Oryctolagus cuniculus: one gene and its partners. The protein of the gene in region 5 purifies or fractionates together with the protein of the main gene of each other region. This does not show direct contact. Links are inferred from orthologs where the notes say so. Each region holds a gene or a part of one and is shown on either strand. Other genes may lie near its edges. The genes, in order: PLCB3, PHLPP1, PRKD1, PHLPP2, NHERF2, LPAR2 and ARHGEF6.

Region 1 (4,004 bases), on a different chromosome or scaffold from region 5:
AGGTCTGGGGCAGGGGCCCTGGGCCTAAGTGAGCCGCGCCAGCGCCAGCCCTCACCATGTTGGGTCCCGTCCAGTACAAGAAGAAGCCATTGGGGTCCACGCGCAGGGTCACCAGGTTCCGACTGGAGGCCTCCTGGGGACAGCACAGGACAGCCAGGGTCAGGGAGTGAGGGCTGCTGACCCCTCCAGCCGCCACGCCACGGTGTCCAGTAGTGGCCGAGACAACGCCTGCTGCAGCCACACACCCCCCCCCCAGGCTGCCCAAGGCCCTCAGGACAAAACCAAGATCCTGGGTGCGGCCTGTGTTCTGGCCCCAGCACCACCCTAAGGTATGGCCACCTGGGTCACTCACTGCCCTATCTCCCTTCCTCTTTTTTTTTTTTTTTTTTTTTTGACAGGCAGAGTGGATAGTGAGAGAGAGAGACAGAGAGAAAGGTCTTCCTTTGCCGTTGGTTCACCCTCCAATGGCCGCTGCGGCCGGCGCACCGCGCTGATCCAATGGCAGGAGCCAGGTACTTATCCTGGTCTCCCATGGGGTGCAGGGCCCAAGCACTTGGGCCATCCTCCACTGCACTCCCGGGCCACAGCAGAGAGCTGGCCTGGAAGAGGGGCAACCGGGACAGAATCCGGCACCCCGACCGGGACTAGAACCCGGTGTGCCGGCACCGCTAGGTGGAGGATTAGCCTAGTGAGCTGCGACGCCGGCCTCTCCCTCTTAATCCCGGAAATCCAGCCCACCTCCCTAGCCCCCGCCCTGGGCTCCGCGGACCCCAAAGGTCCCGGGGCCCTGTGACGGTTGGAGCCCCCACTCCAGCAGCCCACCATGGAATATTGACGGGACAGAGGCTGCAAAGCCTGACCCCGCCAGCTGCCGAGTCCCATGGGACCCTGTGCTGCCCAGGCTCCCCGAGGCTCCACCTTCCAGAAGCGCGAGTCCCTGGGGGACGCTCGCCCCGCCTCGGAACCAGGCAGGGAGCTCCGGCTCGGGTCGTCCCAGGGGCAGAAGGGTCTCGGCCCCACTTTCTGGGGGCCCAGTCCCCGGCATACTCCACGGTCACCGCGTGACTCCGAGAGCTGGGAGCTGGGAGACCTCTCCCGCCTCAGCTCCCGCGCACCCCAGGGGCCACCCCCAGCGGGCCGCTGTCTGGTGGGCGATGCCGGCATCACCACGGCCGCCCTCCGCCCTCGCAGCTCCGTGCCAGTGCGTCCCCACTGTACAGGCCGCGAGACCAGGCCGCCCGTCTTGCTGCAGGCCCAAGGCAGGGACCCAGAGGCAGAGGAGCAGGACCCTGCGTTCCCCACCTCAGTCTCCTCATCCGCAGAACGGGACAGCGCCAGCCCCGCCCAACCTTGCTTACAGAGACCGGGGATCAGGGGTGGGGGTGGATCTGGGGACAGAAGGCACAGGAGGCCCCTGGAACTTTTGGGGTACATGGGCCTCCCCAGCTCAGGGTGCTGACACCCAGCGCCAGTCCTGCTGGGATCCCCAAGGCTGCCCTACAGCTGAAGCCCCCAGTACTGGGGGGGGGGTTCTGTGGGCACCCCCAGGCCCCTCCCCAGCCCTTTCCCGAGGGTCTTGCCTTCCAAGGCAGCCCAGGCCCCAGCCCGGCAGCCCCAAGCCCTTGGCAGCACCCCTACCCCACCCCCAGGGTCCTCTCCGGGCCTCCACTTCCTTATTTGGGTTTATCAGACTGGAAGGCAAAGGAGAAACTTCTCCCTTCTGGCCCGCCTTAGGGGAGGGGTCTCCCCGGGCCCCCCACGGGGCGCCGGGGCACCCGGGCCGGCACACCTGCCGCCCGGGCCACGCCCCCAGCCCCTCCCCCCAGCTCCCACGCCTACCCGCCCCACCCAGCCGGAAAGGAGCCGAGTCTTCCAGGCCTATGGCCTGACTGGGAAGGAGCGGCGAGGAGCCGGCCGGCGGGGTGGAGGCCCTGGGGGCCAGAGAGGGGCGGCGAGACCGTGGGTGGGGCTCAGGCCGCGGGCGGCAGCGCAGGTGGGAGCTTGGGCGTCCGGGGAGCGGCGGAGGCAGACAAGGGGAGAGGGCTCGTTGGGGTTCAAAGTCCCGAGGCTAAGGAGGGGGAGCAAAGTTCCCGGGGTGGGTGAACTTGGGGGGTGACGCGGGGCGCCGGGCCCGGGCACCAGCCCAGGAGGGTGGGGAAGGTTTGAATGGGCCAGCGGGGGCCCAGCGGCGCCCACCAGAGACGAGGATGCCCCCAGCCAGAGTGGAGGTCGGGGTCCTCCAGCCAGGGAGCCCCGTGCCGGGCAGGGGTGTGGGGGCCATGCCGAGGCGGGGAACCAGAATTAATGTGACAGGAGTGAGACCAGCGCGTGGGGGGGCTGCATTTATTGGGGTTCAAAGTCTCGGCGCGAGGAGCGGAGGCCAAATTATCCGGAGCTGAGAGACGGGGTGTCTTGGGGGGCAAAGTCTCACCACGGGGACAACTCGGGGCTTGGTTCCTGGAGCGCAGCCAGGCTGGGCCGGGGGGCGCCCGGCCAAGCTCGAGTGGAGGAGTCCCCGGATCTGGGCGGAGCAGGGGGGCCGCCGCTCTTACCTCGTCCCATTTGATGAACTTACTCCCGCGCCGCAGGGTCTCCACCACGGTGGGCGGCTCCAGCTGCAGCGCGTGGACGCCGGGCCTGGCGCCCGCCATGGCCGGGCCAGGGGCGGGCCGGGGACGCACGGAGCCCCGACGGGGACCGACGGCGCCGCTGCTTCGCCCGCGCGCTCCCGCGCGGCCCGCTCCAGCCCCGCGGCGTCAGCGTCCGCCCGCCCGCCCGCCAGTCTGTCCGGGACCGACCAGAGACTCGGCGGGGCCCGGGCGGGGCGGGGCGGGGGCGGGGCCCGGGCGGCACCGCCCCCTCCCTCGGCGTCGGGCCCGCCCCCTCCCGCGCCGGCTCCCCCTGGCGGCCGGGGCGGTGACTGCAGCCGGAGTGGGCATTGAGGCGGAGGGCCGCGGGGAGCAGTGCGGGGCTTCGCTGGGGTGGCTCAGCAGGGAGTGATTCCTTAGGCTGTCGGGGCGCAGCTGGAGGGATGGGAGAGGGGCCGCTGAGGTTTCTGAGATACCAAGCAAGGGTCTAGTGGGGGGCGGCCCTTGGGCCAGGGGAGGCAGAGCCCCGCCCCTGCTGCTCTTAGCTGAGTGCAGAGAAAGCCCACCCCCTCTCGGTGCCCTCACTTCGCCTCACCCCCTCTGGCAGCAGCGCTGCGCCCCTCCCTGGGAGCACTTAGCAGGCTAATGGGCCTCCCGCGGGCAGGCGGCCCTCCCCCACCCCCATCCCTAGGAGCCAGGCACCTGCCTCCTCTGAGGACCTGGGCATCCTGGCCTCCAGAGTGAACCCTGGCACAGCCCCTTGCTTGCGCCGTAGACCCCTAGACCGGCGTGGCACTGCTGGCCTCTGTCAGAACCGCAAAGGGCTGTTCACCCAGAGGGGTGCGAGCCTCGGGGGTGTGCCCAGAGGAGGGAGTTGGGGAGGGGGCGCTCTGCAGTGCCTGGCCCTGGGTAGGTGCCCTGAAATCTGTGTCCCAGGCATGGGAGGAGGGGCAGGGCTGCAGCCCCTCCCGCAGGGCTCAGCCGGGGGGGCACCTGCCTGGGGGCCCCTGTGGGAGCCCCCCCAATACAGAGGCTGTGGCAGCAGCAGGTTTAAAGTAGAACTCATCCAGAGGGGCCAGCCAAGTCACCTAGAAACCCAGAAAGAGAAGGAGCCGCTCTGGGGGAGGAGGGGTCAGCTGAGGAGGACAGGCCTGCAGGCCCCTTTGCCCCAGGCTCTCGGACCCCCAAGAGGAGCCCCGCCGGGCACTGGCCTCCCTCCAAATCCCCACTGTGTTGGCCGCCAACCCAGTGAACCTCCCAGGCTCTGGCTTTGGCTCTGTAGGCTGCAATTCTCGTCTCTACCTGGGACCCAGAGAGGGCAAGAGGCTTGCCCAAGGTCACACAGCTTCCTGGGGGGTGTCCAGCCTCAGACTTCTCACAGCCACTCCCTGCCCTTGGGAAGACAAAGAAAGGGGG
Region 2 (3,500 bases), on a different chromosome or scaffold from region 5:
ACAGATTCAAAATGCAGGTTTTCTGCCCTTGTAAACATTGGTCAGACAAGGTCATAGATTTCAAATTTTTGTAAAAATGCTAAACTAAGAGCAGAGTCACAAGATGGAAAGATAGAAAATTAAAGTAAATTAATTAAATTTACCTAATGGATATATTATATTAAGAAAGCCAGGAAGGAAAAAACAATTTAAGAAGAGAAATTCTCAATGATGTCAAATGCCTCAGATAAGCCATGGAGAGAAAAAATTATGAAGAAAACAATAACCACTTTGCTTTCAATGACACACATTTCATTCACTGTAAATAGCTCTCTGATGCAATAGCCCCGTCTATTCATACACATTAAAACTGGATTCAGATTTGCAAAATTAAATTAAGACTTTCAGGAGATACAGTCATTCATGAATGAGAATTTTTTAAAAGCAAGTTTTAGGGTAAGAGTGAATGCTACCATCAATCATTCTTCTTCCCTTTGGGCAGAAATAGAAAAATGGGCCCTCGTTCAACTAATCAGGCTGTTTGCCTTGGGTAATATCACCAAAAGGTCTATAATCTACCACCCACAGACAAGCCAACCACCCAAGTGGTGTATATATTTCTCAAAAATGGTTACCTTAGATCCACATGCTTAATGTGAGGCATTTTTCTTAAAGCCTGTAGCCTAAGAGTCTCCATACAGTTTCCAGACATACAAAGTTTATCCACAGCAGTCAGTTTCTCCAATACCTCTGGAATGTCAGTAAATTCGTTGAATGAGAGACCAAGATAACTAAGCTGGTGCATGTTTTCCAACTCAGCAGGAAGGGACTGGAGAAAGTTTCCATCTAACAAAAATGTCTGTAAACTATGAAAGAAAACATGAGAATTACAAAGAGAATGGGTAAATTTTACATTTTTATCAACAAACAAGTTCCATAAGTACAGATCATATCACTATAAAATATATTACTCCTTGCAAAATGCATAAAGGCACAGCCAGAGGCAATAGTGGACCAGAGAGAACAGTTCAGAGATAAGCATCTTAATTTTTCATTAAAAACAGAAATTATAACCCATGGGGTCAGTTTGTGGCATAGTGGTGCTGCAGCTTGCAATGTTGGCATCCCATATGGGTGCCAGTTCATGTCTCAGCTGCTCCACTTCTGATACAGCTCCCTGCTAATGGCCTGGGAAAGCAGAGGAAGATGGCCCAAGTGCCTGGGCCCCTGCCACCCACATGTGAGACCTGGATGAAGCTTCTGGCTTCCACCTGGCCCAACCCTGGTCATTGCAGCCATTTGGGGGAATGATCAAGCACATGGAAGATATCCCTGTCTCTCTAATTCTGACTTTCAAAGTAAATAAGTACATCTTAAAAAAAAAAAAGAAAGAAAGAAATTGAGACCATCTTTCCCCAACATGCATAAGTATAAATGGAAACAATGTGGAGATAACTGCAAGTATGAACCAACCCAAATACTCATCTCTCCTTCTTATTTCTCTTCTGTGTCTTAGAATTCAATATAACACAAAAATGAGAAAGTAAACCCTCCTCCATGTTTAGACACACTCATCCATAGGAATCTTTAACTCTAAACAAAGATCTGTTAATTTTTCCAGCATTTTAACAGTATAAATCCAACAAAGGAATGCTTTACTGATCTCTTGATTTGGGGCCAAGACTTCCATGATCAGAACAAGTTCACTAATCTCACATGCTACTATCGGATGTAGTTTCCTTTAGTTTCCCAGATACCCCTGCCGTGGGCTTTAAAAGTACTGACTTGTGCATAGCTCCGACAGCTGCTGGGACGGCTTGCAGGGCATTGCAGGACACATTCAGCTCTGCCAGGGTTGGAATACTGCAGACTGCTAGTGGGAAGTCTCCTAAATGATTATTGGAAAGGTTAAGACTCTTCAACTTGGTGAACCTATTATAATAAAACAAAAGAAAAGAAGAAGCAAATTTTATAGCAGCATAACATAATTCTGGCATAGCCTTAAGAGGCAATCTGGTCTGACTCCCAAATATAACACAGGAGGAAATGGAGCCTTCAGAGGTTGAGGGAGCAGTAGAGCTAAAATGTGTATCTTTTGACTTCTAAGCCTGGTGTTTGACCTAAGAGAGAAACTTTATATCCAAAACACACTTGTCACTCTACTGCAAGGCTGAATGTTGGAGGTGGTGAGTTCTGCTAGGGTCTGCTTTTTAGCCATGCCTCAGCTTAACTATCACACATGTAAATGGTCCCAGGGAAGGACCCCTTTGAATTCCGTTATCCCAGAAAAACGAGGAACTTCACTCTACTTTTCTCAAATCTGAAACAGATATAGTAAAAATTTTAACATTTATTATAATGACACACTAAGGTAACCAGGACTTCGCAGTTCCAAATTTAAGAGCCAGTTATCAGTCTTTAATCTCATTGTAACACTTGATACTGCTGGCCATGCACCTTTCCTTGGAAAATTCTCATTTCATTTTACCACAGTATTCTGGGTGGACAGTCTTTTTCTTTTAGGACTTGGACTATGTCTCTCCACTCTCTCCTAGCCTGTAGGGTTCCTGATGAGAAATCAGCCATCTAATTGAATCACCCAAAATTGAACTTACCTCAAACCAGCATTTCCTCTTGTTCTATTTTTGCTATTTTTTTTTTCATTTTCTTAGTTGCCCAAATAACTAAAGCAATTTAAAAAACTACCTTTCATTTTTACTTCTCTGTGAGCTCCTACATTTGGCTCACTGCCCACCTTTACATCATTTCCCTATGAGATGAGAATCACAGCAGTCACTGCATTATGCTAAGTCTTTTAAAAACCACCCAAAGTGTACACTCTGCCCAAGACTGATAAAACATTCCAAAAACACTTCAATTCAGCCCAGTCTGTAAAAGAAAGCATCATGGGACCTATCTGTTGAATTCTGTAATAAAAAGTGTTAAGCTCTACTCTAAAAATTAAAAACTTTATTCTACACAGAAAGCTGATAACACAACTATTTGAAAGGTTGAAAGTGTTAATCTTCATTTTTTTTGTAATAGCTGTTTTCTTGGAAAGCTGAGTACAGATATAGAAGTATTTTAAATTATCATTAACAACTATAAACTCAGTAAAGAATAACTGCTAAATATGCATAATAATTTTTAAGTTGTCTGCTTTATATTTTTCACTTTGATTCATTAGACTTTCTTAAAATGAGCAATGATTATTCTCTAATCTAATTATCCATGATCTATAAAACACAAGGTAGAATTTCAGGGTCTATTATTTCTAGCCCAGTGAGCCTCAAAATATGCTGGGGAACACCAGAAACATTCCCTGAAGCTCTTTCAGGAGATCCCTAAAATCAAAATTATTTTCATAAAAATATAAAGAAATTTTCATCTGCCATTATCATTTTCTTCCAAGTGTTTGGTACTGATTGCCAGGTGACACATGTCTTACTTATAGCATATCAGACTGACTACAGAGAGATATGAGAATCTAGTCAGACATTAAAAGAATTGTAAGAATACAA
Region 3 (2,763 bases), on a different chromosome or scaffold from region 5:
AATGACATATTTAAACAAAATTCCCTTTCTTAAAAAATGTACTAAAGAGTAGACCAATTGAAATTTACATTATTCAAGAGACTCTGATACTCTTTCCTTCACAATTATTTCCAACTTCACTTTTTAAGTACCCAATTAATTAAATATGTATCGTAAATAAAATGAAGTTCATGGTTTTAGAATCCTCAAGGGGAATTTTTTTTTTCAGATTGTAGTACCTGTTATCACTGTGTTACACTTGACTGTGTGAAATAACAGAAGTGGAATAAACTGTAAATGAATTGTGCATATGCTCCAGATTTATCATCTCTTTTTAATAATGATTAAAAATGTTTTTCAGCCATCGATCTTATCAATAATTTGCTGCAAGTAAAAATGAGAAAACGCTATAGTGTGGATAAGACCCTGAGTCATCCTTGGCTACAGGTAAAAATCAATCCTTGATTTTTCTTGGTTGGAGAAATATTTATAGGATTCTAACATTATTTGTGGAAACTTTTCTTCTATTTTAAAATGTATGATAATTCTAACATATATATAATTATATATATAATTCTAAATAATAATAATTCTAATTAATTTGTTTGCCAAATGCATGTAAAATCTTAGGGTTTAGTAATAGTTTAGTGTTTCAAAACCTCTGTCTCTACAAAGGAAATGTGATAGAGGAGAGATACACATATATACGCACACAGGCACACACCAAAATAAGCACTAAGAAAACCCACCACCACCAACAGAAAACAAGGATAATAACATGTCTCAGAGGGCCAGATTTCAAAAACTTCAGAATATAAATCCTGATAAATGTCCAAATAGTTACTCACTGTATTCAATCAAAAGCTCTATTTTTAAGTCCTAGGCTATTGGAACATGGAAAAAATGCATGGCAAATGTAAAGTACATGTGTATGCTTATATGTTATCTTAAATATTTGTTGAACTTAAAGTTTTAAAAATGATACTCTGAAATACTGAAGGATTATTTGTAGGCATTACATTTCAAAGGGAAACAGAAATTCCTAATTGCTTGACTGCAAGCATTAATTGCATACACGTCGATCCGCGGTATCATATGAACAGTATGTATTTGAAAGGTTAGGTGAAGAGGATGGCTTTGCAGCTCATGCTGTAACTTGAGGATATGTGATGAAAGATGCAGCACTGTTAGAGTGGAAGAGAAAGGGTAAGTCTGCTTGTGGGAAGTGACAACATATGAAAAGGCGTGTTGTGTTGCAATGATCTCTATGGCAATGTTTTGGGATTTCTTCTTCAGGACTATCAAACCTGGTTAGATTTACGAGAGCTGGAATGCAAAATTGGGGAGCGCTACATCACCCATGAAAGCGATGACTCAAGGTGGGAGCAGTATGCAGGCGAGCAGGGGCTGCAGTACCCCACACACCTGATCAATCCGAGCGCCAGCCACGGTGACAGTCCTGAGACCGAAGAAACAGAGATGAAAGCCCTCAGTGAGCGTGTCAGCATCCTCTAAGTTCCATCCCCTATAATCTGTCAAAACACTGTGGAATTAATAAATACATACGGTCAGGTTTAACATTTGCCTTGCAGAACTGCCATTATTTTCTGTCAGATGAGAACAAAGCTGTTAAACTGTTAGCACTGTTGATGTATCTGAGTTGCCAAGACAAATCAACAGAAGCATTTGTATTTTGTGTGACCAACTGTGTTTTATTAACAAAAGTTCCCTGAAACACTAAACTTGTTATTGTGAATGATTCATGTTATATTTAATGCATTAAACCTGTCTCCACTGTGCCTTGGCAAATCAGTGTTTTTCTTACTGGAGCCTCATTTTGATAAGGGACAGAACCTATCCACGAAGCAGTTCCATTTGGTGTGTCCCATTGGTGTTGTCTTTGTAAGCAAACTCTTGAAGAGTCAATTATTACCGGTGTTCTATGAACAACTCCAAACTCACCTGGGGAAAAACAAAAGGTGGGATGGGTAGGGTAAAGGACATGAAGTCCTGATATAAATGCATGAAAGAATTTCATTGTGTGGTTTCAAATTCTTTGTCTGCCTGGTGTTCCTCATTATGTTTAAACTCAAGTAAACGCACCTAGGCATGCAGGGCCTACTGTTCTTAAACCTAAATGCCTTAGAAATGTAAACTGCTCTATATAACAGATGTATCTCCCCCTTTGTAACAACACCCTGCTGTACCATGGAAAACCAGCAGCTAAGTGACCTTTTGCCTTTGTGTATTTTTCAACAATAACAAATAAATATTCTTGTCAAAATATGTGCCCATTTGATTGGATTATTTCCATTTGTTGTCCACGCTATTATTTTCAGACCAATTAGAAGCAGAAATATCTACTCAAAAAGGCAGGACAAAAATCTCATGGTGTAGAATTCAACTTGATGCTGAAGTGGTCAAAAATGTTTCAGAATATAATGAACACTTTCAGTCTTGCAGTACTTCTAGTTTCCAGTAGTAAAGACAGCTTTCAAACATGATGCTGCTAGTCATAGTTGGAAATACTGCAAATAGCAATCCCATTGGAGCTTCCTGATTTAGTCAGTGTAAGTCAGGGACTAAGAATACTGATGCTAGGGACTGGCATTGTGGCACAGCATGTCTCTGCTTCAGATCCAGCTTCCTGTTAATGCACATCCTGGGAGGCTCCAAATACTTGAATCCCTGCTACTCATGTAGGAGGTCCAGATGAAGTTTCAAGCTCCTGACTTTGGCCTGGCTCAGCACTGGCTGTTGTGGGCATCGTGAGGAATGAACCAG
Region 4 (3,500 bases), on a different chromosome or scaffold from region 5:
AAGTACTTAGAGGTCACAGACTCTCTGGAGAATCTGATGAAACCTTACCCCCTTCCTCCCTTCCTCCACACACATACATATAAACAATGCAGATGACTCCTGTGGCTCTTTAAAGAGCCAAAGTCCCCACTTCCAAGCCACAGCAGGATCACAGAAGGAGTGGGATCTGTCCTGGATCCAGATCCTAATCTTCTGGCTTACAGAGACTGACTTTCCAAAAGCAGAACTGAGTTAGGGATTATTCAACCCATCTGCTTACCTGTGAGACACCAAGAAGGTGCTCGCCATGAAAACGGTGTCATGTGCTGACTGCTGTACCTCTTCCAACAGCACGTCTGCCATCGTGCACTGCAGCAGGCGAGGGAGCTCCTCGTTCCGGTCGCCGTCAAACATGCCATACGCGGCTCCCACACCCTCTGCCAAGTTATCCATAGCTAGAGCAGATACACACAGCCTAGAGCAGAAACAGAAGAAAGACAATCATCAAAGAAAGTGTTTGGTAACAGATTATTCTCCAACTGAAGTTGGAGCAGAACAGCAGTAACTCTCAATTTACATGTGAGAAAGTCCCTAGAGAAAATAATCCAGCAGAATCTAAAACAGTGATGTCCTAAGGAAAGGCGTGTCTTGCCACACTCATGGGCAGTACATAGTTTTGCAGTGCTGCCCAAGGCTGGAAGATAATGTATTTTCTCATGGTAGTGATTAAGAACTGGATTTTGTCAAAACCCTTCAGCCCAAGAACCCCAAAGCACATCTGTAACTAGACAAGCCGGGTTTATTAGACCTTGCAGCAAGGGTGAATGCTAGTCCATGAAACCATGGGGCGTACTGGTAAGAGGATGTTGGACAGAAACGAGTATAAGATTTGGGCTTTGGTTGGGTCACTGGGCAGGGCTCTAGGAAGTGGAGGATCACACTAGGTTGGGTGCTAAGAGAAAGCAGGACGACTCCACAGTTGGGTATTTCAACTTTGTTGACAGGGAAGGAAATTTAACACAAGGATAAAGCTGTAATTGATAACCTAAGAAGCAAACACCCATGTTAGCCATGAGAGGAGGTGTTTGGTATTCTGTGGACTGCACACGCACATTTGTCTCACTTTAGCATAGTCTCAGAAGGATCTTATGTGAGCTGACATGCTGATATGCTTATGTGCAACAGAACATCAGGGCCTCACTAGGAGCACCAGAGACATCTGAGACACCAGGGGCTGCCAGTTCTTGAACTCAGTCTTCACAGTCAACACACTCACTTATTTCTCTGTCCTGCCATCTCAGCCAGTCCGTGGCTCCAGAAGGTTGATGTAATGGTAGAATCTGTGGTTGGCAAAGGTTTCTGATCAATTTTTAGTGTTGTGATATGGCTGTTGAGGTGAAAGAAGAGAAGATTAAGCCATATATTAGACTGTCTTTGATGAAAACTCTCCCAAAGATATCATGTGTTAAGATTAATTCTTTTCAAAAATTCTTTATTTACCTGAGAGAGCTGCAGAGGGAGAGACAAAGAGGGTCTTTCAGGGCTGGTGCTGTGGCATAGTGGGTAAAGTTGCCACCTGCAGTGCTGGCATCCCATATGGGTGCCAGTTTGAGCCCTGGCTGCTCCACTTCTGATCCAGCTCTCTGCTACAGCCTGGGAAAGCAGTGGAAGATGGCCCAAGTCCTTGGGCCCTTGCAGCCACATGGGAGACCTGGAAGAAGCTCCTGGCTCCTGGCTTTGGATCAGCACAGCTCTGGCCGTTTCAGACATTTGGGGAGTGAACCAGTGGATAGGAAACCTCTCTTTCTCTCTGCCTCTCTGTAATTCTATCTTAGAAAGAAAAATACAGAAAAAAAGGAGAAAGAAACAAAGAAAGGAAGGATGGAATAAAAGTCTTTCATCTGCTGTTCTACTCTCCAAGGGGCAGCAACAGTTAGGGCTGAGCCATGGGTGCAGAGGTCCAAACACTTGGGCCATCCTCTGCTGCCTTTCCCAGGCCATCAGCAAGGAGTTGGATTGGAAGTAGAGTAGCCAGGACACGAACTGGCACCCACTGGGATGCAGCAGCTCTATCCACTGTACCAAAATGCCAACCCTAAGGATTAATTCTTAAGTATTTATTTATTTCACAGGCAGAGTAACACGGGTGGTGGGGAGAGAAAGAGAGAGACAGAAATGGAGAAAGAGAGAAGGCTCTTCCATCTGCTGGTTCACTCCTCCAATGGTCAGAGCTAGGCCAGGCTGAAGCCAGGTGCTCAGAACTCCATCAGGCAAGTTCGCAGGGAGATGGATCAGAAGCAGACAGCTGTGACTCAAGCTGGTACCCCAATCTAGGATGCTAGCATACCAAGCAGCAGCTTATTTGAAAGGCAGAACAACAGAGAGGGGAGGAGACACAGAGAAATCTTCCATCCTGTGATTCACTCTCCAAATACCCACAACAGCCAGGACTGGGCAAGGTCAAAGCTAGGAGCCAGAGACTCCATCCAGGTCTCCCACATGGGTGAAAGGGGCCCAAATTCTTGAACCATCATCCACTGCCTCCTCAGGCTCTATTATCAGGAAGCTGGATTGGAAGTAGAGCAGCCAAGTGCCCCCACCCCCTAACCAGGAGGAAAAAAAAAAGAAAAGGTGCAGCAAGAAGAAATAGGGGCCAAACACTGTCAAAATTAATGCCATTCTTTTCAATCAAGATCTCAGCAAAACAAAGATTTCTATGCTTCAGTCATATCTACTTATTTTACACATTTTGATACAGGTACAAAGAACTCGTACATCTTACAGATGTTGTAATGCAATCTGTACCAACTAATATATTTATGCCTAATATGTAAAAATACCAGACATATGTTTGTGTGGTAGCCATGTAGTAGTTTTAACACAAATAGACTGACTACTTCACTGCTGCAAGGTGCAGCCCCTAGGGGCTGTGTAGACAGGGCTGGTCTGTGGCAGATACGCAGGGGTGAGCTGGAGCGCTCACCCGAGGGGTGTCCCCACATTGTAAGTGGGGGGTAGGGGTCTGTGGCTCAGCATCCTGCCTGCTCCCCATACTCTGCAGCTGTTAGAATGGGAGAAACAGCTTGGGGCGCTGTGTACAAGGTGTACAGACCAGGAAGAGGGCAGCCACTGGGAACACCCACTGCCCTCGCAACTTCCTGTGTTTTGTTTTGTTTTGTTTTGGACAGGCAGAGTAGACAGTGAGAGAGAGAGACAGAGAGAAAGGTCTTCCTTTGCCGTTGGTTCACCCTCCAATGGCCGCTGCGGCTGGTGCGCTGTGGCAAGCGCACTACGCTGATCCGAAGCCAGGAGCCAGGTGCTTCTCCTGGTCTCCCATGCGGGTGCAGGGCCCAAGGACTTGGGCCATCCTCCACTGCACTCCCTGGCCACAGCAGAGAGCTGGCCTGGAAGAGGGGCAGCCGGGACAGAATCCGGCACCCTGACCAGGATTACAACCCAGTGTGTCAGCGCCACAAGGCGGAGGATTAGCCTATTGAGCTGCGGCACCGGCCACTTCCTGT
Region 5 (3,947 bases):
CTCACAGCGCAGCCAGCTGTGGTGGGAGAGGGTGGGAAAGGAAAAAGGTCCACGTGAAGGCCCCCGCCCACCCCACACGTTAGGCCCAATACCTCCACTGCCCCCAGGCCGGGGGTTCTCAAAGCGGAATCTGGGGAACCCCTAGGCGGAACCCCCCAAGGGATGTGGTCAACCAAAGAGGTAGGAGACGGCTCTTCCCCAGGGCTCACATGCTTGCCCCGCAGGGTTACTTCCAGGTCCCCACCCCTCCTGCGGCTGGGGGGTCTTTGCTGAAGACTGGGGGAAGGGTGGGCTCGCCCTAGAAGCTTCCTGAACCAGGCTGCGCACAGCAGCTTCTGGGGCCAGCTCTCTCCGAGGGCTTCACCCTACACTCAGACCAGACAGACAGACAGAGACGCAGACGCTGCTGAGGGGCCAGGCTCGCTCCTTCCCAGGGTCCGGTGACTCCGCCCACCGGGCAGGAAGGGCCTCGTCGCCCTGGGCCAGGCTAAGGGCAGGGACAGAGAGCGAGCCGGGAAGGGGGCCGAGCTGTCCTGTCTACCCCCAGTTAGGAACTCGGACTGAGAGAAGAGGGACCCAGAAGGCAGCCGGGGCGGGGTGAAGACTTGTCAAGAGGCCAGGGTGGCCGCACGGGCAGAGGCTGCCGTACCTTCTGGCCAGCGTCAGAGCTCAGGCTGCCTGCACGTGCCCAGTCCGGCTTTGGCTCCCAGGGGTCGTGGGCGGGCGGGAGCCCTCGCTGGGCCATGTCCTCGGTGCAGGTGAGCTGCCGCCGGCGCAGCTCCTCGTCCGTCTCCTTGTCCACTACCAGCAGCCGGGTCTCCCCTTCGACAGCCTTGATCCTCTGCACCACCTGGGGCAGGCAGGGACGGGGGCAGGTCAGCGGCCGGCAGCCCGGGCAGCACGTGGACGGTGGCACCACTCCGGGATGGCCTGGGCTGGCAGGCAGACAGGCAGCCAGGCTGCCAGGGGTGGGCGGCTGGCCCCGCCGGCTCCGCCCCCCGCCCCCGGCTCCCTGACACAGCCAGCCCTGAGCTGCTCTCAGCCCAGGGTGGAGGTGACCAAGACGGCACTGAATGAGCTTCAGGGGCTCGGTCTGCCCGTGCGTGTGCACACGCTCGTGTGTGCGCACCATCTGTTTCCAAGTCTGCCTTCCAGCCCAGGTTGGAGGCGGGAGGTGCTGTCGGGTGTTAGTTTGGCTGTGCATGTTCGCTTGCTTTCAACTTTCTCACGGGAATCTCAACCTGCCCTAGACACAGACCGTCTGCCTGCAGACCACAGACCCACTCCTGCTGGGCCTGCGGACAGCTGAGAGCTGGGTTCCCGCTCAGGCCCCCGCACACGGTCGGGTAAGGAGGACAGCGGGGAGAGGGGCAGGTCTGCCCGTGGCACAGGTGCGGCGTTCCAGGCGCTGTGTGTCTGGGAGCACACAGGGTGCCAGCGTGTGCCAGCAGGGAGAGGGCAGTGCCCACTATGGCCCTCGGCCTGTGGAAGAGCGGAGCAGAAGGCTCCCACCTGCTGCCCAGCTCCCCAGATGCTGTCAAGCAACAGGGGGAGCGAGCCAGGCCCGTCCTCGCCCGGCCCTGCTCCCCGACTTGTGACCCAAACTGAAGCTCCAAGCCTCAGTTTCCATATTTGTAAAGCAGAGTCCCGGCCGCACCTCCTGGGGCTGGGGCTGGGTGTGAAGTTCTCAGACAAGTGCCCAGGGGCCCGGAACAGCAGGTGCAGCTGGAGCGAGGATGGCCATGGCTGTCACACAGAGGCGGGGTGCCAGCTCTGCCAGCCCTGCCTCCCCCACCTGTGGCCCTGACCCCCACTGCACTTCAGCACACAGCACCGCTCTACCCAGCTTCCAGTCTCGCTGGAAGACAGAGGCTAGGGGACCCCGGGAAGCCCGGCCAGTGGCTCAGCTGTCTGCTAACCCCTAGGCCCAGTACTGGCCACGTAGACAGGCCACAGGCTCAGCGGTGCTGTGAGGGACACGGAGCAGCCGGAGCAGCCGGTCCGGAGGGAGGCTGGACTCTGGCCAGGATCTGAGGTGAGTCCCTGGCCAGCGGGAGACGGACATCCCAGGGGTTACAGCCTGCAAGGGAAGAGGCCCTACCCTCTCCAGCTGCAGGAGCAGGGGGCAGTGGCCACAGCGCCCCGAGGAGGGTGAGGGTCGCAGCAGCTATGGAATGTGCCACCAGGGACTGCCAACTCGCACCGGATCCAGGCACCCCGGCTGCAGACACACTGGCCGGTCTACACCGCCCAGACGCGCAGGGGCCTGGCTGCTGGCACCCACACGGGCAGGACCCCGGAGGCCTTGCGCGGTCACACAGTCCCACAGGCTCAGGAAGCACCCGGGTTCACCGACACACAGGCTGGAGCCAGGCGGGGGGAGGGGGCCGAGGGCCGGCTTGGAGCCGCAGTGCGGCCCCTCCCTGCCAGAACGCCTTCCCCCGCGCTGCGGTGCGGGGCTGAGCGTCGCGGGGGAGGTGCGGGGCCCGCCACCCGCAGGCAGCGCCCAGCCGGCCGGGGCGCAGCGCGGCACCCACCTGGTGGTGCGTCTCGCCTTCCACGTTGACGCCGTTCACCTCGACCAGGCGGTCCCCCGCGCGCAGCGCGGCCGCCTCGGCGGGGGAGCCGGGCTCCACGCGCCGGATGAACTGCCCACGGCGGCCCTTCTCGCCATGCAGGTGGAAGCCGTAGCCCTGCTCGCCACGCACCAGGCGGCACAGGCGCGGCCGCAACGGCTCCGGCGCGGCCATGGCGCCCGCTGACCACCGGCCGGCCGCGGGCTGGCCACGGCGCTACGGGGCCCGCAGGCCGGGGCGCGGGGGCGGCGCGGGGGACGGGCGGCCGCCTCGGCGTTGCGCTCGCTCGGCTCCAGTCGCCTCGGGCTCGGGCTCGGGCTCCGGCTCGGGCTCCGGCTCGGGCTGGGGCACCGCCCCCGCGCCCGCCCCTTCCCCGCCCCCGCCGCCCGGCCGCCCCCGCCCCGGGTCCACGACGCGCTGGCCTGGCCCTGCCTCCCGGCCCCAGCTGCCCGAGGGGCTCTGGAGGGGAGGCTTCAGGGCCGGGGAACCCCTGTGTCTGGCAGCACGTTGGTGCCAGCGCTTCTGGCTTCCTGTGCAGGGCCTAGAGCCGGCTCCTGAGCTGGGGGCCAGGTGGGAGACAGTGGCCCCAGGCAGAACCCCCAGGGAGGCCCCGGAGTGAGGCCCTGCCTGCCCTCCCTGGGCGGTCCTTTGCCCACCCGCACGGTTCACCTGCTCCCCAGCCACTGCCCTCACCCCCGGGACCCTCCCGCAGCCAGGGCTGCCCTGCACAGAGCCCCACGACCTGCCTGGAGGCCCCTGGAGGCCGTAGTGACAGGGTGGGCTTTGTGTGCCCGTGGGCTCCCTAGAGGTCGGCCCTCCATTCTCGCACTTGGCTGAGGCCTACCCCAGGCCCCGGCAGACCCTGGAGTCCCAGGCTGCAGGGTCGGTCGGGGGCTGGCCTCCTGCCCCGAGACTTTGGCCTCTGTACTCTGTGGTCAGCACCGGCACACCTGAGCCGAGGTCTCTGGCACCTGCCCCCTGCCTCTGCCACGCCTCCCCTGCCCTGCGGCTGACAACCGCCAGCAGCACTTTGCCTGGCCAGGCCTCTCCAGGTGCAGTTTTACTGGCACAGAGGGAAGCACCCCTCCCCCAGGCCCAGGGCTGTGCGGCCCAAGCCTGCAGCCTTCACGGCTGAGGCCTGAGGCGGCCTGGCCTGCCCCGCCCCAGCCCAGCAGGGACCCCTGCCCATGCCTGCCCCAGGGGTGGGGCGCAGCAGTCCAGACAGTTCCCAGGTGGGCCCCAGTCCTCACCCCTTGCTCTCCCGTCTCCAGTTCTCTTGGCCTGGGCTCTCCAGCCCCCACCCACACCGTGGCCCCCTGGGTGCCCACCTCCAGGAGCTCGTGGCATCGTGGGTGCCCCCACCCTCACCTC
Region 6 (4,107 bases), on a different chromosome or scaffold from region 5:
CACGGCTGGCGACACCAGCATCCCATATCAGAGTGCTGGTTTGAGACCGGCTGCTCTGCTTCCAATCCAGCTTCCTGCCCATGTGCCTGGAAACGCAGACAGGTGACGGCCCACATACCTGGGCCTCTACCATCCATGTAGGAGATACAATGGAATCCCTGGCTCCTGGCACAGCCCCAGCTGTTGTGGTCATTTGGGGAGTGAACCAGTGGATGGAAGACCTCTCTCCTTCTTTCTTTGGCACTAGGCTTTTCAAATAAATAACTCTTAAAAAAAAATAAGATTGATTTACTTGAAAGGCAGAGTTACAGAGAGAGGGAGGGAGAGATGGAGAGAGAGGTCCTCCATCCACTGGTTCACTCCCCAAATGACTGAAACAGCCAGAGCTGGGCCGGTCCAAAGCCAGGAGCCAGGTGCTTCCTCCTGGTCTCCCATGTGAGTGCAGGGCCCAACCACTTGGGCCATCCTCCACTGCACTCCCGGGCCTCAGCAGAGTCCGGCGCCCCAACCGGGACTAGAACCTGGGGTGCTGGAGCTGCAGGTGGAGGATTAGCCTAGTGAGCCACGGAGCCAGCCAGCAGCAGCCCTATAAATAACTTAAAAAGGAAAAAAAAAAAGTTGGAGTCGGCATTGTGGGATAGCAGGTAAAGCCATCAGCTGCGATGCCAGCATCCCATCTGGGCGATGGTTCAAGTCCCAGCTGCTCCACTTCCGACCCGGCTCACTGCTAATGGCCCCGGAAAGCAGCGGAGGACGGCCCCAAGCGCTTGGGCCCCTGCACCCACCCGGGAGACCCGCAAGAAGCTCCTGGTTCCTGGCTTCTGCCTGGCCCAGCCCTGACCATTGCAGCCATCTCTCCCCACCTCTCTGTAACTCTTTCAAATAAATACTTTTTTTTTTTTTTAAGATGCAAAACCAAAGCTTTTTAAGGACTTCTGATAGAACTCAGAACAAAACGCGACTCTAGTCCCCGACCTTTGACCTCCGAGGCTGGCCAATCTGCTCCCCCCCCCCAGCCAACCTTGAAGGCTGCTTTCTTCCCAGACTCTGGGCTACTCCTGCCTTGAGGCTTTCCACCTTCTGTTCCGTCTGCCTGGAATTCTTTTCCTCCCCCTGGAGCATTCAAGTCTGTGCCGAGATAACAGCTCGCCAGGGATCACCGCCCACGCCCGGCCCTTATCAGGTGTAGTTCACGGTCTCTGGGTGTCGTGGGGTCAGAAGGCAGAGGCCCTCACTCACCTAGGATGATGACCACCGTCTTGACCAGGCTCAGCGTGGTCTCTTGGTAGCGGGGGTGACAGCTGACATGCTCCGACATACGCTGCACCCTCCGCCGGACGTAGAAGAAAATGTGGATGTAGACGGCCACCATGAGCAGGAAAACCAGCAGGCTAGACAGGGCCCAGACGGCCAGGTAGGAGCGGCTGAGCAGGGGGGCCATGCGAGAGCAGCGGTCCAGGGCGCAGAGGCAGTGCCACGAGTGGGCGGGCAGCAGCCCCAGCCCCAGCGCGGCCAGCCACACACTCACAATGAGCATGATCACGCGGCCGCGCGGCAGACGGCTGTGCAGCTGCACGGCCATCACGCTGCGGTGACGCTCCACGGCGATGGCCAGCAGCGTGGCCACCGAGGCCGTCAGGCTCGTGTCCAGGAGGCCCTGCCGCACGAACCAGCCCTCGAGGGACAACCGGGCTGTGCGCGGCCCCGTGTGGAACATGAGGAAGAGGTAGGCCACGCCGGCGAAGAGGTCGGCGGCCGCCAGGTTCCCCAGCAGGTAGTAAATGGGCTGGTGGAAGCGGCGGTTGGAGGCAATGGCCGCGATGACCAGCAAGTTGGTCAGCAGCACCAGCACGCTCACCGTCAGTCCCAGCGCCACCACCAACACGTCCTTGGGCCGCCAGTGGGAGCTCAGCTCTTTGCCGCTGTTATTGTAGAAAAAGCCCACAGTCTCGTTGTAATAGCACTGGCCCATGGTGGCCACCTGGGGGGGGGGGCACAGAGTCGGGGGTCAGTGCAAGTGAAGCTCCTTGGAAACACACAAGGAGCCAGCAGCAGCCTGGAGAGGAGGAGGAAGGCAGACAAAACGCATCCGCAGTCCAGTGCCGGCCGGGCCCCGGGGGGTGGGGGTGGGCCGGGTAGAGGGGAGCTAGGGGAAGGGAGAGAACAGGGCAAAGGGGCGTGAGCTGCGTGAGCAGACGAGGTGCCCGGGTCAAGTGCGGGGAGGAGAAACCAGGAAACGCGTGTGTGTGCGTGCATGCACGCGCACGCGCGCGCGCGCGCAAAGTGAAGTCCCTCGCCGGGACCCTGCGGGAGCTGAGCGGTTCCTTTGGGAGGCGGCAGCTAGGCGGTCCCTGCAGTCCTCGGGCCGGCAGGATTTAGGTGCCAGAGCTCCCGAAGCGGGCGGGGCATCGGGCCGTTCCGGGTGGGACGGAGGACCCTGGAGGCCGCCGGGACAAAGAGGGCGCTCGGGGAGAAGGCGCTGGGCGAAGCCGCCCGGAGCCCCTAGGCTGGGGGTGGGGAGGGAAGGGAGAGGGGGCGGCGCCCAGGCCCCGCGGACACGTGCCGCGCCCTCCCCGGGGTCCGCGCTCCCCGGTCCCGCGTCGGTGCGGGCCTCACCTGGGCAGCGCGTCAGGCTGCAGACGGGGCGCGCTGGTCGGGGGCTGGGGTGGGCCCGGAGTCCATGGCCCCGCGACCGCGGCGGGAACGAAGGCGCGTCCGGCTGCGGAGGGCGCGCGGGAGGCGGGGTCGCCCGGAGGCCCCGCCCCTTGGCCGGAGCCCCGCCCCCGCCACCTGGGGGAGCCCCGCCCCGCCCCGCCACCTGGAGGGAACCCGGCCTCGCCCGCCTGCAACCCAAGCTGGGTCGCCCGGAACCGCAGCCCCCTCATTTCCTCCCCGCCTACCCCGGTCGCCCCCCTCCATTTCCGGCGCGGGACCCTCACCCCGGCCCCCGCACACCTTGAACGCGGCCGCACTTTGGAGACTGACTCTCCCAGCGACGGAGAAAGCCCGCCGGGACCACGCGCGGCCCGGGCGCAGCCCCGGGTGGTCTCCAGGCCGCGCCCCCCGCCCCAGAACCCCCCCTTTCCCCGCCCTCTCCCTGGCGTCCAATCGGCCGCCGAGCTGCAAGCCACGCCCTGATCCGACTCGGCTCCCACTGCCGCGACCCCCGCCCAGCCAGGGCTTCCCCAGCGCAGGTCTCCCACCCCGCAGACCCCCGCCCCCGCCCTCCGGCGCTCTCCGCCTTGGGACAGCGCTGCCCCCTGCATAGCCCCGGCCTGCGGCTTCCTCCCCCAGCCTCCCTGCGGCGGCCCAGGACTCCCACGGAGTGCAACACGAGGCCCTATTGTCCCGGTTATCTGTACTTGGTCGTGTTTGTTTGATTACACAGGACCGGTTTGGGGACGCGTAGCTGTGACTCAGCCGCGTGCCCAGGCCCCTTCTGCCTACAGGTGGGTCAAGGGTGTGTGGGCATGAGGAGGAAAAGGGGGGCCCTCGGCTCACTCGGGGGCAAAGGGGGCTTGCCCTGGCCGGCCTCTCCCCAGCACCCTCCTCGGCAGCCACACGCGGTGTACACAGGGCGACATTTATTCAGAAACCACCAGATCCCGGGCACCCAGGGGGCTGTGGGGTCTGGCTGCCCCCCCACCAAGAACTGGTGGGTGGCTTGGCTCGGTGAAGTCGGCAGGCGGCGGTGGGGCAGTGCCCACACCAAGCAGCAAAAGGCACCCAAAGGGTCAGAGTCCGGGGTGGACCCTGGATACTGACCGTGACCTGGAGCGGCCCTGAGGCTTTGGCCATGACCTGTGTGTGTTGGGAAGGTTCTGGGCCTCCCCCAGGCCACGCAGTCTTTATAGGAACCCCCCCCAAGTGGAGCTCTGGCCCCAGGTGTGTGCTGGGGGGGGCGGTCAGGCACGCGAGACATGGGTCCATCTTCACAGTCCCAAGCCCCCCCGCAGAGGGTCCAGGGGTGGTCAGAGATGCTCCTCATCTTCCTCGGGCTGGGGGTCGGCGCTGCCGGCGGTCCTGGGCACAGCCTCGCTGTCCAGCTTGGAGAGTAGCCGGGCGGTCTCTTGGGTGATCTCAAAATGTTTGGGCAGCGGGGTGCGG
Region 7 (3,500 bases), on a different chromosome or scaffold from region 5:
TTCTTATAAAGGCTAAAAGGTGAAATGAAACAGAGGCGGTGGCATTATCCTGCCAACTGCTTTAGGGGTGGGCAGGAGAATGGAGTGTTCTGTGCCTCCTGGCAGATTCTCCAGGAGGCCAAATGCCCTTAGGGCACCATATCCACTAAGAGTCATGGAGATTAACCTTACAAAACAGAAACATTCTTCCCATGGTTTATGTTTCCCACTGATACCGGTTTAAGGGGATTAAATAACAACTATACCTACTAATGTAGCATTTATCACTTCTCAAAGAACCTCAAAATTATTTAAATAACTTTTCCTCAGAAACAATCCCACAAAGAAGCATATAATTTCTATTTGTCAAGAGGGAAGATTAAGTCATTTTTTTCCACAGAGAACCAAATGACTGCCTGATAAATAATTTGGGGCTAAGAATAACACCCACAGCCAAGCTTAACTATACATGTATGAAGCCAAATTTCTTTTTTTAAAATAAATGATGTTTATTTGAAAGTAAGAGTTATATAAAGAGAGGAAGAGATAGATAGAGAGATCATCTCTCTGCTGGTTCACTCCCCAGATGGCCACAACAGCCAGGTCTGGGCCAGGCCAAAGCCAGAAGCCAGGAGTTTTATTTGGGTCTCTCACATGGGTGGCAGGTGCTGAAACTCTTGGGCCAACTTCTGCTTCTAGGCCATTAGCAGGGAGCTGGATAGGAAGTGGAGCAGCTGATACATGAATGGGCACCCATATGGGTTGCCAGTGTCACAGGTGGCAGCCTCACTTGCTATGTTGTAACACCCAAAGCCAGATTTTTAATTAGCAAATAAAAAATTATTGAATTTGCTTTTGTCATATGAATAACCTACAAATGACAAAAGTTCTCATTGACAATATCCAAATAAATAGATTAGACACTTACACTCAGGGAAAAAAATCCTCATGATCATTTTATTCCCATCTTCCTTCCATGCTATGTGTACATGTGATACATCGATAATAATTAGTATCTTAAAATATATGAAACAAAAGTTTGATTTCTTTCACTTAGTCACAGTGATCCACTAATTCTTGAAAACAGACAGGATGAAAAAGTCACATGTGAAGAATAACAGGACAAAACAAAGGGCCGGCGCCACGGCTGACTTGGCTAATCCTCCGCCTGCAGCACTGGCACACCGGTTCTAGTCCCAGTCGGGGCACCGGATTCTGTCCTGGTTGCTCCTCTTCCAGTCCAGCTCTCTGCTGTGGCCCGGGAAGGCAGTGGAGGATGGCCCAAGTGCTTGGGCCCTGCACCCGCATGGGAGACCAGGAAGAAGCACCTGGCTCCTGGCTTCGGATCAGCACAGCGCGGGCTGTAGCGGCCATTTGGGGGTGAACCAACAGAAAAGGAAGACCTTTCTCTCTGTCTTTCTCTCTCTCACTGTCTAACTTTGCCTGTCCAAAAAAAAAAAAAAAAAAAAAAAACCACACACACACACACACAAAGGAACACTGGCATTTTTAAGGCCTTATAGGGTGACATTTGCATATGAATTTCATACAAGCCTGCTCTGGGAAGAAAGTACTTACATGTCAGAATTGTATCTTCATATTTTAGCCACCAAGTATATATAACAAGGAACAAAGCAAGCATAAGAGAAAGCTTCATTCATCAAAGGTTATAGCACAGTATTATGATGTCACTGTAAGCCAAAGATATTATTCTACCCTTACCTTTAAGATATAAGACATCCTCTAAAATGAATATGTAAAGAAAGAGAAGATGAGCGTGAGAGGTCGATGGTTATAATGACCAAATCCATTTATCAATAATTCTAAAACAACATTTGAAATGTTAGTGTTATCATAAATTACACAGAAAGAATATCATCACATTTCCCACATTAGTTTCAGATGCCATATCATCATGCAAAAGCCCAAGAAATACAGTTCTGTGCAGAATAACAAATGCTGAAAATGACTGAAATACACACCACATCATCAGAATATATTAATAATTCTCTTCCCCCAGCAGAAACAAAGTGGTCATGCCTTGGTTTTAATAGATTAGTTATGTGAAGGATTAAGCTGACTTTCCCCCCTTCAAAGCTCACCTCAATTTGACCTTAGCAACTGACAATTACAAATTATCCACCATTTAAAAAGGTAACTATGAAGTAGCACTCCTGGTTTAGGGAATCAAAGAAGAAACTGGGTAAATTGCAAAGAAACTGGGTAAATTTCCAAAGAAACTGGGTAAATTTCCAAAGCAAATCTGTAGGACTGTTTCCTGGCCAAATTCTGAATCGAGGTACATAATAAAGATTCAATTCAAGGGTTATTTCTCCTTCCACACCAGCTTGAAAGAATCAAAAAGTCCTCCAGTGTCCAAATACTGATGTATTTCTACTACACTAAAAGTTGGTGACAACAATTAATTGAAACAGAAGCATGGTGGTTTAAATCAAAGCACACTCAAAACTAAGCGGAGTCTGCATCACTCAGAACACACATTTGATAGATAAATAGATGCTGTCTCTGCACCATAAATCTAGATTCATAACTGTCACAAACTTAAACTTCAGTCAACAATACCTATTTAAGGAAAAGTTACAAATAAATGAGCATTCTTTCTGAAATATGAAATGATGAGAAACAGGTTTGGGGGAAAAAAATCAGTGTGAATGGAAAAGGTAAGACTCCACAGAGCAACTAGTGACTGATATTTCCTGATTACAACTTCAAGGGGATAAAAAAGGCTTTGAAATCCCTATATTATTCAAATATCAAATGTCCTTTAAGGTTCTCGCAGAGAAACCTTCTCAAATGACATTCCTTTCATTAAATTCTTTTCCCTTCCTAACTAGGGCAAATATCTTTCGTACTTTGGACCCATGACTGGGTTATAATTTGATTTAATCAAAATGATCCAAAATGTTGAGTTGCATCTACTTGATTGAAAATTCAACTCCAATGAAGTGGCTTTTGTTTGAGTTGTGTATACTTTGTTAACTAATTCAAACAATTATCAAAATTATCTCAGAGGTAAACCAGAGGCATTTCTGGAGGAGGCTTGGGAAACTCATATTGTGCACATCAACCCCGTGGCTAATCAACAAATGTTTTTAGATGGACAACGGGGAAATGGAGAATCAAGAAACAAGCAAAAAAAATCACCAACACTAACAATTCAATACTAACTGACATATAGCACCTATCATAAGGTTTAGCACATTCCCACAAAACTATTTGTAATAAGTTATTATATTAGCTTGTCAAAAGCATTTTATACCATATGTAGCAAAATTACCTCTTTATAACCTAGAGCTGCTGATGGTCTAAGTGGAGGTGCAGGTCGCAGACAACTTAAACTCCACGGTTTTATAATTTGAGGAGGCTCCAAGGGTCCTCGGGACTGTCCGGTAGAGCTAAAAGACTGGGAAAATGTCCGATGAGATACTGGCAATCTGCCATCTGAACCCGACCTTGTGCCACACACAGAGAGAACAATAGCTTTGTGGATCAGCAAAACC

The links.
Region 1: the proteins of NHERF2 (region 5) and PLCB3 purify together in Homo sapiens (co-immunoprecipitation; 3 studies listed by BioGRID and IntAct, with this or other methods). This does not show direct contact. The link is inferred for Oryctolagus cuniculus from reciprocal best matches to the Homo sapiens genes NHERF2 and PLCB3.
Region 2: the proteins of NHERF2 (region 5) and PHLPP1 purify together in Homo sapiens (affinity purification with mass spectrometry; 3 studies listed by BioGRID and IntAct, with this or other methods). This does not show direct contact. The link is inferred for Oryctolagus cuniculus from reciprocal best matches to the Homo sapiens genes NHERF2 and PHLPP1.
Region 3: the proteins of NHERF2 (region 5) and PRKD1 purify together in Homo sapiens (affinity purification with mass spectrometry; 3 studies listed by BioGRID and IntAct, with this or other methods). This does not show direct contact. The link is inferred for Oryctolagus cuniculus from reciprocal best matches to the Homo sapiens genes NHERF2 and PRKD1.
Region 4: the proteins of NHERF2 (region 5) and PHLPP2 purify together in Homo sapiens (affinity purification with mass spectrometry; 3 studies listed by BioGRID and IntAct, with this or other methods). This does not show direct contact. The link is inferred for Oryctolagus cuniculus from reciprocal best matches to the Homo sapiens genes NHERF2 and PHLPP2.
Region 6: the proteins of NHERF2 (region 5) and LPAR2 purify together in Homo sapiens (affinity purification with western blotting; 3 studies listed by BioGRID and IntAct, with this or other methods). This does not show direct contact. The link is inferred for Oryctolagus cuniculus from reciprocal best matches to the Homo sapiens genes NHERF2 and LPAR2.
Region 7: the proteins of NHERF2 (region 5) and ARHGEF6 purify together in Homo sapiens (affinity purification with mass spectrometry; 3 studies listed by BioGRID and IntAct, with this or other methods). This does not show direct contact. The link is inferred for Oryctolagus cuniculus from reciprocal best matches to the Homo sapiens genes NHERF2 and ARHGEF6.

The regions. Positions count from the first base shown.
Region 1 is NC_091432.1:7,057,967-7,061,970, forward strand, and holds the start of PLCB3 (1-phosphatidylinositol 4,5-bisphosphate phosphodiesterase beta-3), read right to left. Parts: upstream 2,801-4,004; 5' UTR 2,652-2,800; coding exon 2,553-2,651; intron 134-2,552; coding exon 56-133; intron 1-55. UniProt on the Homo sapiens protein: Catalyzes the production of the second messenger molecules diacylglycerol (DAG) and inositol 1,4,5-trisphosphate (IP3).
Region 2 is NC_091441.1:15,654,533-15,658,032, forward strand, and holds part of PHLPP1 (PH domain leucine-rich repeat-containing protein phosphatase 1), read right to left. Parts: intron 1,912-3,500; coding exon 1,765-1,911; intron 846-1,764; coding exon 615-845; intron 1-614. UniProt on the Homo sapiens protein: Protein phosphatase involved in regulation of Akt and PKC signaling.
Region 3 is NC_091443.1:45,772,058-45,774,820, forward strand, and holds the end of PRKD1 (serine/threonine-protein kinase D1), read left to right. Parts: intron 1-340; coding exon 341-426; intron 427-1,275; coding exon 1,276-1,494; 3' UTR 1,495-2,263; downstream 2,264-2,763.
Region 4 is NC_091449.1:55,608,619-55,612,118, reverse strand, and holds part of PHLPP2 (PH domain leucine-rich repeat-containing protein phosphatase 2), read right to left. Parts: intron 1,367-3,500; coding exon 1,256-1,366; intron 455-1,255; coding exon 260-454; intron 1-259. UniProt on the Homo sapiens protein: Protein phosphatase involved in regulation of Akt and PKC signaling.
Region 5 is NC_091450.1:33,196,704-33,200,650, forward strand, and holds the start of NHERF2 (Na(+)/H(+) exchange regulatory cofactor NHE-RF2), read right to left. Parts: upstream 2,801-3,947; 5' UTR 2,751-2,800; coding exon 2,538-2,750; intron 851-2,537; coding exon 650-850; intron 1-649.
Region 6 is NC_091447.1:66,278,354-66,282,460, forward strand, and holds the start of LPAR2 (lysophosphatidic acid receptor 2), read right to left. Parts: upstream 2,801-4,107; 5' UTR 2,617-2,800; intron 1,982-2,616; 5' UTR 1,973-1,981; coding exon 1,240-1,972; intron 1-1,239. Other genes in the region: GMIP (GEM-interacting protein), read right to left, coding at 3,972-4,107. UniProt on the Homo sapiens protein: Receptor for lysophosphatidic acid (LPA), a mediator of diverse cellular activities. Seems to be coupled to the G(i)/G(o), G(12)/G(13), and G(q) families of heteromeric G proteins. Plays a key role in phospholipase C-beta (PLC-beta) signaling pathway.
Region 7 is NC_091453.1:114,529,963-114,533,462, forward strand, and holds part of ARHGEF6 (rho guanine nucleotide exchange factor 6), read right to left. Parts: intron 3,404-3,500; coding exon 3,278-3,403; intron 1,723-3,277; coding exon 1,702-1,722; intron 1-1,701. UniProt on the Homo sapiens protein: Acts as a RAC1 guanine nucleotide exchange factor (GEF).